Linked DNA regions of Coturnix japonica. The protein of the gene in region 1 interacts with the protein of each later gene in a pairwise test. Links are inferred from orthologs where the notes say so. Each region holds a gene or a part of one and is shown on either strand. Other genes may lie near its edges.

Region 1 (5,641 bases):
GCTGGTGGAAGAGTGTGCGCATTGTTATTTTCCATGAATGCCTCTTGTAGTCTCCAGAAATTTTTCGCAATAGAGGACTGTTGAGTTTAGTAATCAACAGAGAACTGTCAAGTTTAGTCATCCTTGGTGGACTTTGTATCCACAGGTTTGCTCAGTTGCTTGTTTTTGAACCGAAGGAAAACGTTGACAGGCACTTACCTTATAGCAGTAATGCCTCCTACTAGCAGACTGCATGCAAGACCATTTTGAAGCTGCAAGTAGATAGAGTTGTTTGATTCCCATTGATTACTGTTGTATAAGAAATAAAGAGTTATTATCTGTTTGTTTACCTCCATTATATCTGCCCTGGATCATGTCTATCCCAGAATTATTTGGTTCTATTTGGAACCTATCCCATATCAATTGGTTCTTTGTGCTTGGTTATCTTTTCTTGATCTAACACCTTTTGTCAGTAGGACTGTTGATTAAGAAAATTAATTGTATGGCAAACAAAATGATCTATAGTGGTGTCTTATTCTAAATTCTGGTTATTTGGACCTTGACTTGGCTGTTAGCTGCCTCAGTATGTAGCTTGGGACTGAAAAGAGGAACAAATAGTTGCTTGCGTTTCTTATGGGTTGTGTCTGGAGACACGGCAACAGTTTTCCTGTTAAAGTTTTGTTCCCTCAGCTTTCAGTTTTGTCATTCTTACCAGTGAAGTTTTATCCAGATTCTGTAGATGTTATATCATTTTACTGGGTCGTGCAGTTAAATAGTAAAGCTTGAATCCCAGGGCCAGACTTGCACTGGGTTGGGCTTTGGTGCAGTACTCACTAGTGGGTGTTTTGCAAGCAAATGGAAATCATTCTGCCTTCCAGTTTCTATTCTGTAAAGTCAGAAAGTTATTATTTTTTTTTCCCAATTTCATGTACAAGGTAAGTCAGACTTTTTCTGCTCTCTGGAATGATATATTGGTGCTTTATTCAGCATTAGCTGATGTCTGGGATAACATGTGCCTAAATAACTAGTTTCATTTTTCTCCCTATTTGTTTTTGCTTAAGTGCTCCACCCCCACCTGGAAACGAAGAGGAGGCTGCAGAAAATGGCGTTGTGAAAACGGTACTTTTAAATGTGCTTTTGAAATACTGCTTTAATTTGTTTTGATTTATTGACTAATTGTAATTTAGCTTGGAATTAAAATCAAATGAACTCATCCATAATTGTACACCTTTGACTTTTGCAGATGGTGTTTGATGATATCTGCATTAACAATAAAGACTAGGAAACTCTATTTCCAGCTGCATTCCACTTCTTAAAACTAACTTACAGACAATAAATAAATAGTACTTATAAATGAGGTTTACAGTTGCAGTGCTGATGGATGGCTGCAGTTTACCATGAATGGGAATGGTTTGTGGCTTTTCTATGGAGAAGTAGTAATTGGTGAACTTGTTTCTCTTGACAGTGGGGCACTGAAAGACTGTCTTCCATCATCAGCTGTCATTTGCAGAAGTTCTATTTTGATTAAAATAATTGAGGGTTTTTCTGCCTTGATTTGACTCTTAGTTATTAAATACATTATGTTAATGCTGTACAGCAAGAATGAACTGCACTCTAACCTCTTATCTTCCATGCAGCTGCTAATTTTGGTCTAGTTAATGTACCAGGCAAGTTAGATAAGGACCAGAGCTCGACTGCACTTGGATAACTGCAGGCTAACCAACTTGGTTTCAGTACGTTTAGTGTCTTGCTGAAGGATTCTGCAAGTATGCAGAGTGGCATAGTCTGGTTAATCAGAAAAGTCTGGAAGAAGTTCTTCATTAAAGGATATTTAGAAAGCAAAGGAATGGCATGGATAATCAATGTGCAGAAGAGAGAAAACAGTGCAGAAGTAAAGGTTCCGTTTTCATGGTGGTGGTTGAAGATCACCTCCATTGGTGTTTCTCTAGAGTGTTGTACAGAGCCTGTGCTATTCAGTATGGTTATAAATTACCTGGAAAAGTGGTTAAGTTGTGCAAGTTACAGAGTTATTAAATATACGACTTTCTACAGGGGACTGTGTGGTTGATAAATGGTTGATGAAATTCTGTGTAGAAGAAATGTTCATGGGTGAAAAACAGCTTGCAAATAAATGATGGTTTCTGAGCTGATCATTACCACTTACGAGGAAGCTGCTCAGCTATGTTGAAAGGTCCATGAAAATGTAATTTTAACACTTCGCTGGAGTCTAGAAAGCAGTCAAATTTGGGAATGTAGCAGATAGTGATTAGCAGACCAAACAGAAGGCTATTTTGCCACTGTGTTAGTTTGTTTCTGTTAGACCTCAAATTCTGTGTGCAGTTCTATTCCTCTCGCACCTTGAAGGCTTTACTTCCACTGAAGAAAGTTGAGAGAAGCACAACAAGAGCAATGCAGGTTGCTTCCAGTAACAAATAACTGAGTAGGCAAGGGCTTCTCAGCCTGGGAGGAAGGCATATGTAAGGCAGAATAGAAGTTAGCAAATCACGTATAATGGCTGTAAGTAGGAATTGAGTTCTTACAGTCCCTTTTTTCTGAAAAAACAAAAACAAACCCACATCAAAACGTGGGGCTGGATGAACTGTCGGTATGAACTGGTATGACTGTTTTTATTTACCAGCAAGCTTGAAAGCCATGGGACAGAACAGAATGCAGTGTACTCTTGTAGCTGTTTTGTGGTGTTGCTTTTTTCCAGCCTGTTCAATAAAAGTCTCAAGTATTTGATTTATTTGAGGTTTACTAGTTTATGAATTGAATAACTTTACCTGAAGAGCAGTGTTCATCTATGATTGAAAAAGTGTTTTGAGTTGCTCTGGGTATATAACTGAGATGGCAAGAAGCTGGTGTCATGTATCTTCTGGCTCTTTCCTGAGTGACTGCAGCAGAACTGGTATAAATGAGATAGGGAGGGAGAAGAAAATACTGGATAGTGGAAAATGTTTTATGCCTATCTTGGAAATGTCATGTTTCAGAGACAGAAACTTAATACTAAAAATACTTCTCTATTTTGATCCAGGTATTTTCAATATTATTCCAAGATTGATAACACTGAAACTGAAGAACATATTCAGTTCTTGCTACTCAATTCTGACATCTGAGAAACAATTTTCTTTTGTTAAAGATATCCAGAATAGGTACTTTTGTCTGGATTATTTTTTCATTGTAGATTGTGACCTTTTCTTTTGTAGAAGGCGACTGAGGCTGAGGATGACAGCGATAGTGATAGCGATGATGATGAAGATGATGTTCAAGTCACCATAGGAGATATTAAAACAGGAGCTCCACAGTTTAGGTAAGTTATCTAAAAATACTAACTGGGAGAAAGTTTTAAGATTGCATTTTGTTATTAATTCAAGTTTTAATACCTGTCAATATCAGATTGTATGCATAGGTGGCCTTATTTTGTTTTTTCTTCTTTAATAAAATGTTTCTAGTGATGTAATGACTTGGAATAAGAAAAAAGTGAAATAAATGAAATATAAAGGAAGAGCCACTTTATGAGGTTGGTTTTTTCAGATTTTGAGAAATAATTGCACTGAATGTTTGTAAATTAAAGAGTTCTGTGTTATGGAAGAGCTATATTACATGATGTTTTTTGGCTCATATTTGTGACGTTTTTATTTTTGTTGTGAACGATGTAAGCACAGAGAACAGTAGATACATTTGTCCCGGGTATTATTTGTCATGGAAACACTTCAAATAAGAACTCTGTAGTTTCAATTTCTACTGATGCTCTTAAAGATTTTAATGTACTTTAGGATGCAGCAGCCAATCTCTGGGGATGATTTCTTTTGATCACGGTTTAGAGATTTGTACCATACAGTAACTGCTGTTACCTCGTGTTGTTTTTTTCTGCTCATAAAGGGTTTATTTTTTCATTGAATGCTTTTGAAAAGTTTTAATTTTATCCAAAATAATGAAATAGTATATTTTGTTACATAGAGTTTTTCTGAGGGAAGTTGTATGCTTTGTTTGTATTGGCAATCCTAGCGTTCTTATGCTCATTACAAGTTATTAGCTTGTCTTTTAAGTTAGAATTCCAGTAGGCATGCAAATAGGTCTGACTCACGTATGTTGTTATATCCCTAGCTTTAGAATTTGTAAGTTTTTTAAACAAAATATCCTTTCCAGCACTTTATATCCTAAAGTATCTACGCAAGTCAAAGTAATGTCAAAAATAGCAATTCTTTTAGTACTTCATATGTTTTCAATAACTTGCAGTATGCCTGTGGTATGGACACTGACCTCAAATTCTGTGAGAATAAAGCAAAGCTGGATTTATATTCTTGGTGAATTTACTGATGCTCATTCGATGAATGCAGAAACAATAAGCAAATGCTTCTAAATCTAATTAGAGTAGAAAGTTTTATATAAAAGTAACTGTTCTGTGTAAAATCACTTCTGGGCAAGTTGGGCAGAAAGTTCATGGAAGGGCAATCTTCTAAACCAAGCTCAGCACTGTTCATTTTAACTTCATAGCAAGTTCCTTCATACATATAACCTATTTTCTTATAGTTGTTTATCACAGTTTTGAAGAGAGTAAAAAAGTAAATAAATGAAAAGATTTGAGAAAGTCATGCACAAATACAGCATGGGAGATAAGGATGAATGCTCTGTGTCAGTTTTCTACTCTGCTGCATGATTTTGTATGAAGAAATGACATGGAACCAGTACTTTAACATATAAGTAGAAAATAGTACATAGTTTAATATGTTTGTGCGCTGATACCACCTATGAGGATAAGCTACTTTGCACACAAGTGTTTGTGAAAGTTAGCTCTTACTGTTCCAGGTAAATAATACTGTAATTCTAAAGCTGTTAATTCACTGTCTAAATGTCAGAATGCATTTTTATGATCAAAGCTCTTAGGTATTTTAGAAGATGAAATTGCGTGTATTTTTCTGCTGGTCACAAGGATAGGTAATTGCTAAAAGCGCACTGAAACAGCCTTTCAGTCATTTCAAAGAAACGCTTCTATTTTCCATTTCTGTACAGAGAATAAATGGAATTATAATAAAAGCAGCAAAAGGATATGTCTAAAACCTCTTTCCTTTATCTTGCTTTTGCCCTCATCCCCAGAGTGTCTTCTGTATCCCTAAATGAATTTTGTTTTTCCTTTTTCTCTCCTTCTGGTCCTGTTCATTTTTCTTTCTATCAAGGTCTTTAACCTTTCAACTCAGGAAGAGTGACTGGAACTTGCTTCACAACTGTTTATTAGTTGGAGGAGTTGCTACTGAGCATAGAAAGGTACTCTCTCTTGCTCCTAGGCTGATCTCTCTATTTTTACAGTTGCCAGCTTGGAAAGCTAGAGATTCAGGATGGCGATTGAGCCTGGGTCCAGTTTGTTTCTGGATCTAGCTATCTGTTGTTTTGTGTTTTCTTCCATTTTAGAGTTTTTTTCTGTCTAACTCACTTTTTAAAATTTCTTTAAGTTATGGAGCAGCACCTGTGAACCTCAATATTAAGACAGGAGGACGAGTTTATGGATCTTCTGGTAAGGAAGTTTACTAAATAGCTTTAATAAAATTGCAAAAATTTCCATAACAGTGTATAGCATGTGCTTGTGTATGCTTCTTTAGCCTGCATTTTCAGATAGAGAGCTCTTGCAAAAAGTTCCAGTCTAATGTCAGTTAATTAGAAAAAT
Region 2 (6,325 bases), on another chromosome or scaffold:
TTTGTAGAACTTGCCCCAGGAGGAGCTGACAGCTCATTTCATCAGCTCTGTGAAACTGCTGCCCTCTGTACATTTCACTGACAAGTGATAGTGCTGAAGTGCTTTTTCCTTGCTATTTAGTACATAAAGACAAACCTGTAAGGCATATCGGAAGCCATTTTCACTGTCCTTTATGCAGCTCATTAGAAGGAAGCTGAAGGTCTCAGCTGTAGGAACGTGGCCCTTATGCACCATTTCCTAAAACATAGAAGAGAGAACATTAGACTTCACAGGTAGTCAAACAGCCTGTCACAGCTGTTGATGCCTGTAGCTGCCTCATTTTATGTACTAGAACTTGGTAAGTAACAAGATAATTAATCGAATGAGACCAAAGGTCAATGAAATATGAACATCTGGTCAGTAATTATCTCTGCAAAAATGACCCCAATGTCATAACGCAATATTGCAACTTTAATTAGAGCTTTAATTAGAGCAGAATACACTCGATACAAGAAAAGTCATAATATTTACCTTCAGCACATCAAAACACATCCTGAGATCTGAGCACAGCGCACAGACTTTCAGCAGTGCATGGTAAGTGATCATGTTCAGCTCCTGGTTTTTGTCCTTCAGCTGCTGCCGTAGTTTGAGAGCACTCTGCAGGCCTGAGTCTTTCCATGGCGATTCAGCACAGGCATTGAACAGCGCTGTGTATGTGGGTTCAGTAGGAGTTAAGCCTCGCTTCTTCATCTAAGAGAAGAGAAGACATGGAACTAGGTTTTAGGAAAAGAGTTATTTCATAATTTGGTTTTAAGAGCTTCAGGAAAGGTGAACATTGGCTCAAAGGCATTTTGGAGAGAAAATAACACGACCAGATGATAGAAACAGATTTAGCTGAGTGAACCTAATGAAGGCTTGAGAAAAGAGAGAATGTGAACCTACATCGTTGTAGAGTCTGAATGCCTTTTTCACGTAGCCAGCCCTGCCACAGCCTCCAATGAGAACAGTGTAATTGATTTCTTCTGGCTTTACTCGCTCTTCCTTCAGCATCTGCACCTCAAACAGCTCCAGGGCCTCTGCCAGCTACAGAGAAAAGGAAAATGTTTTATGAAGCAACAATTCAGTTACAATGAATAGCCTTAGCTGTAGTCAGAAATCCTACAGAGCACAGAATTCCTCATAAATTCTTGTTTTCCTTCTTTTAATAATGATGATAATGAGTTGGAAAAGACCTCTAAGATCATCAAGTCTGATCTGTCAGTCCTTCAGTGCCACATTTCCACAGTTCTCAAACACCTCCAAGGATGGCGACTCCACCACCTTCCTGGGCAGTCTGTTCCAACACATTACCACTCGTTCCAAGTATGTTTCCTAGTATCCAACCTGAACCTCCCCGGCACAACTTGAGGCCATCACCTCACATCCTATCACTGCTACCTGGATCAGAGGCCAACTCCCACCACACCACAACTTCTTTTCAGAGAGCAGGAAGCAATGAGGTCTCCTCAGACCTTGAACTGCTTCCCATAAGACTTATGCTCATGGTTTTATTGCCATTCTCTGGACACACTCCTGGGCCTCCACATCTTTTTAGTAGCGAATGGTCCAAAACTGAACAACAAGTACTTGAGGCATGGCTTCAAAAGTGCTGAGTGCAGACAGACAGCTATAACAGGAGGCAGGAGTAGCAACTTTAAAGGCAACTTTAACCTCAGTTAAAGGCCAAAGGGACCTGATGATCACTTCAAGCCCCTCCCAAGCGAACCATTCTAATCCTAACAGCAAAGTGCTCGTTCACAAGCACCAAACGTTACTATAACCCCCAAATCCCACCTTGTCCTCCTTGATGAGGGCCTTGCACCTTAGGAAATACCAGTACGGCGTGTTCCTGCGGCCGTACCACAGCCTCCTCTCCCCTTCTTCCTCCCCATCCTCTTCAAGCTTCAAGTTCCGAAACACCGCCGTGGTTTTGTGGTAATATTTCCTATGGGAGAACTTAGCAGACAGCGTCCCGAACTCCACACCTTCATCATCATCATCATCATCATCATCACCAGCTTCGCCTTCAGCACCGCGCACCTCAGGGGGCGGCTGCGACGAGCTCAGCGCCCTCAGGCCACGCAGTGAAGGGAAGCTGGGCCTGAGGTACCGGAACAAGGCGGAGGGAAGCGGAGCAGCGGCCCGGCAGCACCGCCAAGGGACGGGCTGGAGGCTGAGGAGGAGCCGTGCAGGCCGCATCGCGAAGCGCGGCGCACACACCGCCCCGCCCCCTCGCGGCCACCGTAGCGCCACGGCGCATGCGCGGCAGGAAGAGGCGTGTTCAAAGCGGCGGCCGGAGCCGGAGGTGTTTTCCCGGCATCCTCCGGGACGGGCGGGCGGCGCGGCGCGGGTCGCGCGCGGCCCCATTGAGTGTTGAGGCGCTGCCGAAGAGAAGCAGGCTGGGTCGGGCCAGGCCGGGCCGGGCCTGGCCACAGCCGGCCCCAACCATTCCACCCCTTCCCACCCGGTGCCGTCGCCCCCCGGCTGCAACCATGCAGGAGCTCATCGCCAGCGTGGACCACATCAAGTTCGACCTGGAGCTGGCGGTGGAGCAGCAGCTGGGGGCGCAGCCGCTGCCCTTTCCCGGCATGGACAGTGCGTGTGGGCGCCGGGCGCGGCATAACCTCTATCCCTGAGCCGGGGTGGTGGGACAAGGATGGAGCCTAGAGAAGGGATCAGCCTAGAGAGAAGGTTGTGGGGTGACCTCAGTGCAGCCCTTCAGTACCTGAAGGGAACTTAGTGCCAGGAGGGGAGTAAACTCTTGGAAAGGGCTGACAATAGCAGGACACGGGGAAATGGTTTTAAGTTAAAAGAGGGAAGATTTAGGTTGGATGTTACGGGGAAGTTCTTCACTAGGAGAGTGGTTAGGCCCTGGAACAGGCTGCCCAGGGAGGTTGTGGATGCCCCGTCCTTGGAGGTGTTCAAGGCCAGGTTGGACGGGGCCCTGGGCAACCTGATGTAGTAAAGGTGTATGTTTGGTGGCCCTGCCAGGCAGGGGGGTTGGAACTACATGATCCTTGAGGTCCCTTCCAACCCGGGTCATTCTGTGATTCTGTGGTGGTGGGGATGGGGCTGTTCCGTGCCCTGTGCTGGGCTCCTCGTGTCCCCTCAGCTCCTGCTGCCCTGAGGTGCTGCCTTGGGCCGGGTGCTGTGTGTCTGTAGCCGTAGTTTGTGCCGTGCTGGGATGGAAGGAAAGTTGAGGCGTTCATGTGAATAAACACTGCTGTCCCACGCTGTTGTTTGATTGCCCTTTTGATAGGTGAGGTGTTTTGGTGGCAGGGAAGGTGTAGGTGTGTTCACAGTCTGGGATCTGAGCACTTTCCTGCATTAGTCTGGAGATGGGGGAGTCAGGGGAGGCCACATCATTCCCTACAACTCCAGAAGGACATGGTCAATGTGGTGAGAATGGGCTGGTTGGACTTGGTCATCATAGGGGTCTTCAACCTGTCCACTGATGCAAGTAGTCCTGGGAGACTCAACAGTTTGCTGACGTTCTGTGTCAGTGCTGCTGACCTCACATTGCTCCCTTGAGTGCTGTGATTCCTGTAGGTCAGTGAGGGATAACGCAGCAACAACTGGGTCAGGCTGATCTGCAGAAAAGACTTTGAGAGCCAGGGCTATAAACATGTTTCACTACAGCAAGTGGTTTAATAGTCATTGCCCAACCTGAAGTCTGAAAGGCTATAAACAGAACTGCAAATTTCCCTGCTGTGTATTCATTGAGGAGAATACAGACATTTGTGAAGGCCAGAACTGAACAAAGAATTCATGCAGGGATGTAAATTCCTCAAACCAAAATGCTGTTTCTCTTTTGAATTTGAGGACTCAGTCGTTTCTTCAGGCAGAAAATACTTTGGAAGCTCCTACTAAAGTTTGTTAACGTTTATTTTGTTTCTTCTTTCCACAGAATCAGGTGCAGCTGTCTGTGAATTCTTTTTAAAAGCAGCATGCGGGAAAGGCAAGTTGTATTTCCAGTACACTTACACTCGTATTGCAGGGAGGAGAAATAGATTTGCTGGCACGTTCTATGTTAATCATGGCTTTTGTTAACTCCACAAATTGTGTGGGGTTTGCTGTGGATGTGGCTGTTTTAGTGTCTATGGGTTGCGGCTGCTGGGATTTAGACATGGAGACTACAGTGCTCAGCTCATTAGAGGGTAAAACAGGACTTGTCTGGATGTCCTTGTTTATCGTTACCATTAAGAACTGAAGTCATAAGGAAAAACTGAGTTCTTCTGAAACCTCTCTTGTAGAGGCGAGTGAAGCGCTGCTGTTGCTGTGTTCCTGCTTGTACTGCAGAGTTTAATTGTTCCTCTTTTTCATTTCCCTTGCCTCATCCTTGTGCAGGAGGTATGTGCCCATTCAGACACATCAGTGGGGAAAAGACTGTCGTTTGCAAACACTGGCTACGAGGACTATGCAAAAAGGGAGACCAGTGTGAGTTTCTGCACGAGTATGACATGACCAAGATGCCTGAGTGTTACTTCTACTCCAAATTCGGTAAGAAACATTGTAGCTCCTACGTAGTGTTCCTTGCAAGCGTGGGAGTCTGGTGAAGAAGATCCTGGTACATCCTTCTTATTCCATCCTCAGAATATTTCAGTTCTTCCATGTCTGCTGACACTGTTCCATTGTAGTTTTTCAGGTCTGCTTAGCTCTTTTATCTTTTTATTCCCCTAAATTCGCCATGTGTTGTAGATGTTTCCTCTCTCAAGAGCTTGTCATGTTGGGGAAGAGGGAGGAAGTTCACATTGTTACTGGGTTTTGTGCTTTATGTTCTCTTTTTTAGTATGAGTTGAGTAGGCTGAGCAGTTGGTCTTTGCATGACTCTTGTTTTGGGGAGTTGATGAGCAGCAGAGGGCATGGGGGTGCAAAACTTTTATGCACTTGCTTTCCAGCTCTGGAGATCTGGACATAATGAGGCAACTTGCTGTCAGAAACTTACAGTCTTGTAGGTTTCCTTGGATTGAGGTTAGTGTGCAATTTGTAGTTTCTCCACACTTTTGGTGCACTAAATGTTTGGTTTTTGTTATCATGACTCTCTTCCAAAAATCAGTTTCTGCATTGTTTTTAAAAGCACACATAAATAATCCAGTCTGGTAGAAGTTCACTCACTAGGGGTGAGTGCTTGGTGTTCATCCTCTAGGTTAAGTCAGGCAATAAGACCGTTGTGCCTGAACTTATGAATGCTGGTAACAGCTTTGTGGGAGGTACATGATCCAGGTAACATTTTAGGAATTACTTGATCTTGAACCTGCATCATTAACTAAGAGATGCGTTTGCCTTTGGTACAGGGGAATGCAGTAACAAAGAATGCCCATTCTTGCACATTGACCCGGAATCTAAGATCAAAGACTGTCCCTGGTATGACAGAGGCTTCTGTAAACATGGTACGTATGTTGTGTTGTTGCTCCTGTGGCTATAAATGAAGGGTAGGGTGTTGCTATTCTTTCTTTGCATGAGCTGCTTTGTGTACCTGCTGCTACTGAATGTTGGAGCATGTATATATAGTACATGAACCATTTAACTTTGTGTTGCAGGTCCACTCTGCAGACACCGACACACTCGAAGAGTCATTTGTGTGAATTACCTAGTAGGATTCTGTCCAGAAGGGCCTACCTGTAAATTCATGCAGTGAGTTTGTTTCCAGGCTTGCTCTTTGATGATGTTTCCACTGTAATCTGATGCATGTCAAATGGGGGGGCTCCAATACTTCCCAGTGGTTCTGTAAAGATAGCCAACACTTAGTATAACAATCTATCTTTGATTAGAGGATGTGGTGTATGTCCTCCTTAGGGAGTTATCAGTAAGACACTGAAGTGCTTGGATGCCATGGTGGGCTTGCATGAGCTTACATTAGACTTTTCATTACTGGCATATTGTTCTTGTAAGCATAAATACCAAGCATAAGAATGATAACTGGGGAAAGGAGGTCTGTTTTCTGCGAGTCTAATTTAATTTGCTGAACATTTTGTTGTTTGGAGTTGTTTCTTTTTCTTACTGAGCTGATATGAAGGTGTTGGCATATAATTTGAGAATCTTTATTTCTCTTTGTCTCTGCCTGAAACAGCCCTCGATTTGAACTACCTATGGGAACCACAGAGCAACCACCACTGCCTCAGCCAGCACAAACACAGCAAAAGGTACACAATTCCCCTGCATCCTACACCCACCCACTCTCAAAGTGTTTTCCACAATACTTTAGAAGAGGCCATTATAGCAACAGAAGTCTTGCAGTTGCTATATTATAATGTGAAGATCTAGTCACAGAACACTCCTGTATAACAGAGAAGCATGCCATGTGTTG

The links. The genes of interacting proteins can lie anywhere in the genome.
Region 2: the proteins of FIP1L1 (region 1) and CPSF4 interact in binary tests that used the Homo sapiens proteins (3 or more experiments, as listed by UniProt). The two-hybrid records come from large-scale screens. The link is inferred for Coturnix japonica from reciprocal best matches to the Homo sapiens genes FIP1L1 and CPSF4.

Annotation. Positions count from the first base shown.
Region 1 is NC_029519.1:59,343,356-59,348,996, reverse strand, and holds part of FIP1L1 (pre-mRNA 3'-end-processing factor FIP1), read left to right. Parts: intron 1-1,040; coding exon 1,041-1,098; intron 1,099-3,185; coding exon 3,186-3,289; intron 3,290-5,429; coding exon 5,430-5,491; intron 5,492-5,641.
Region 2 is NC_029529.1:4,429,401-4,435,725, forward strand, and holds the start of CPSF4 (cleavage and polyadenylation specificity factor subunit 4), read left to right. Parts: upstream 1-2,399; 5' UTR 2,400-2,510; coding exon 2,511-2,613; intron 2,614-3,925; coding exon 3,926-3,976; intron 3,977-4,365; coding exon 4,366-4,518; intron 4,519-5,312; coding exon 5,313-5,408; intron 5,409-5,558; coding exon 5,559-5,652; intron 5,653-6,088; coding exon 6,089-6,161; intron 6,162-6,325. Other genes in the region: pentatricopeptide repeat-containing protein 1, mitochondrial, read right to left, coding at 136-237, 511-729, 922-1,062, 1,813-2,399. UniProt on the Homo sapiens protein: Component of the cleavage and polyadenylation specificity factor (CPSF) complex that play a key role in pre-mRNA 3'-end formation, recognizing the AAUAAA signal sequence and interacting with poly(A) polymerase and other factors to bring about cleavage and poly(A) addition.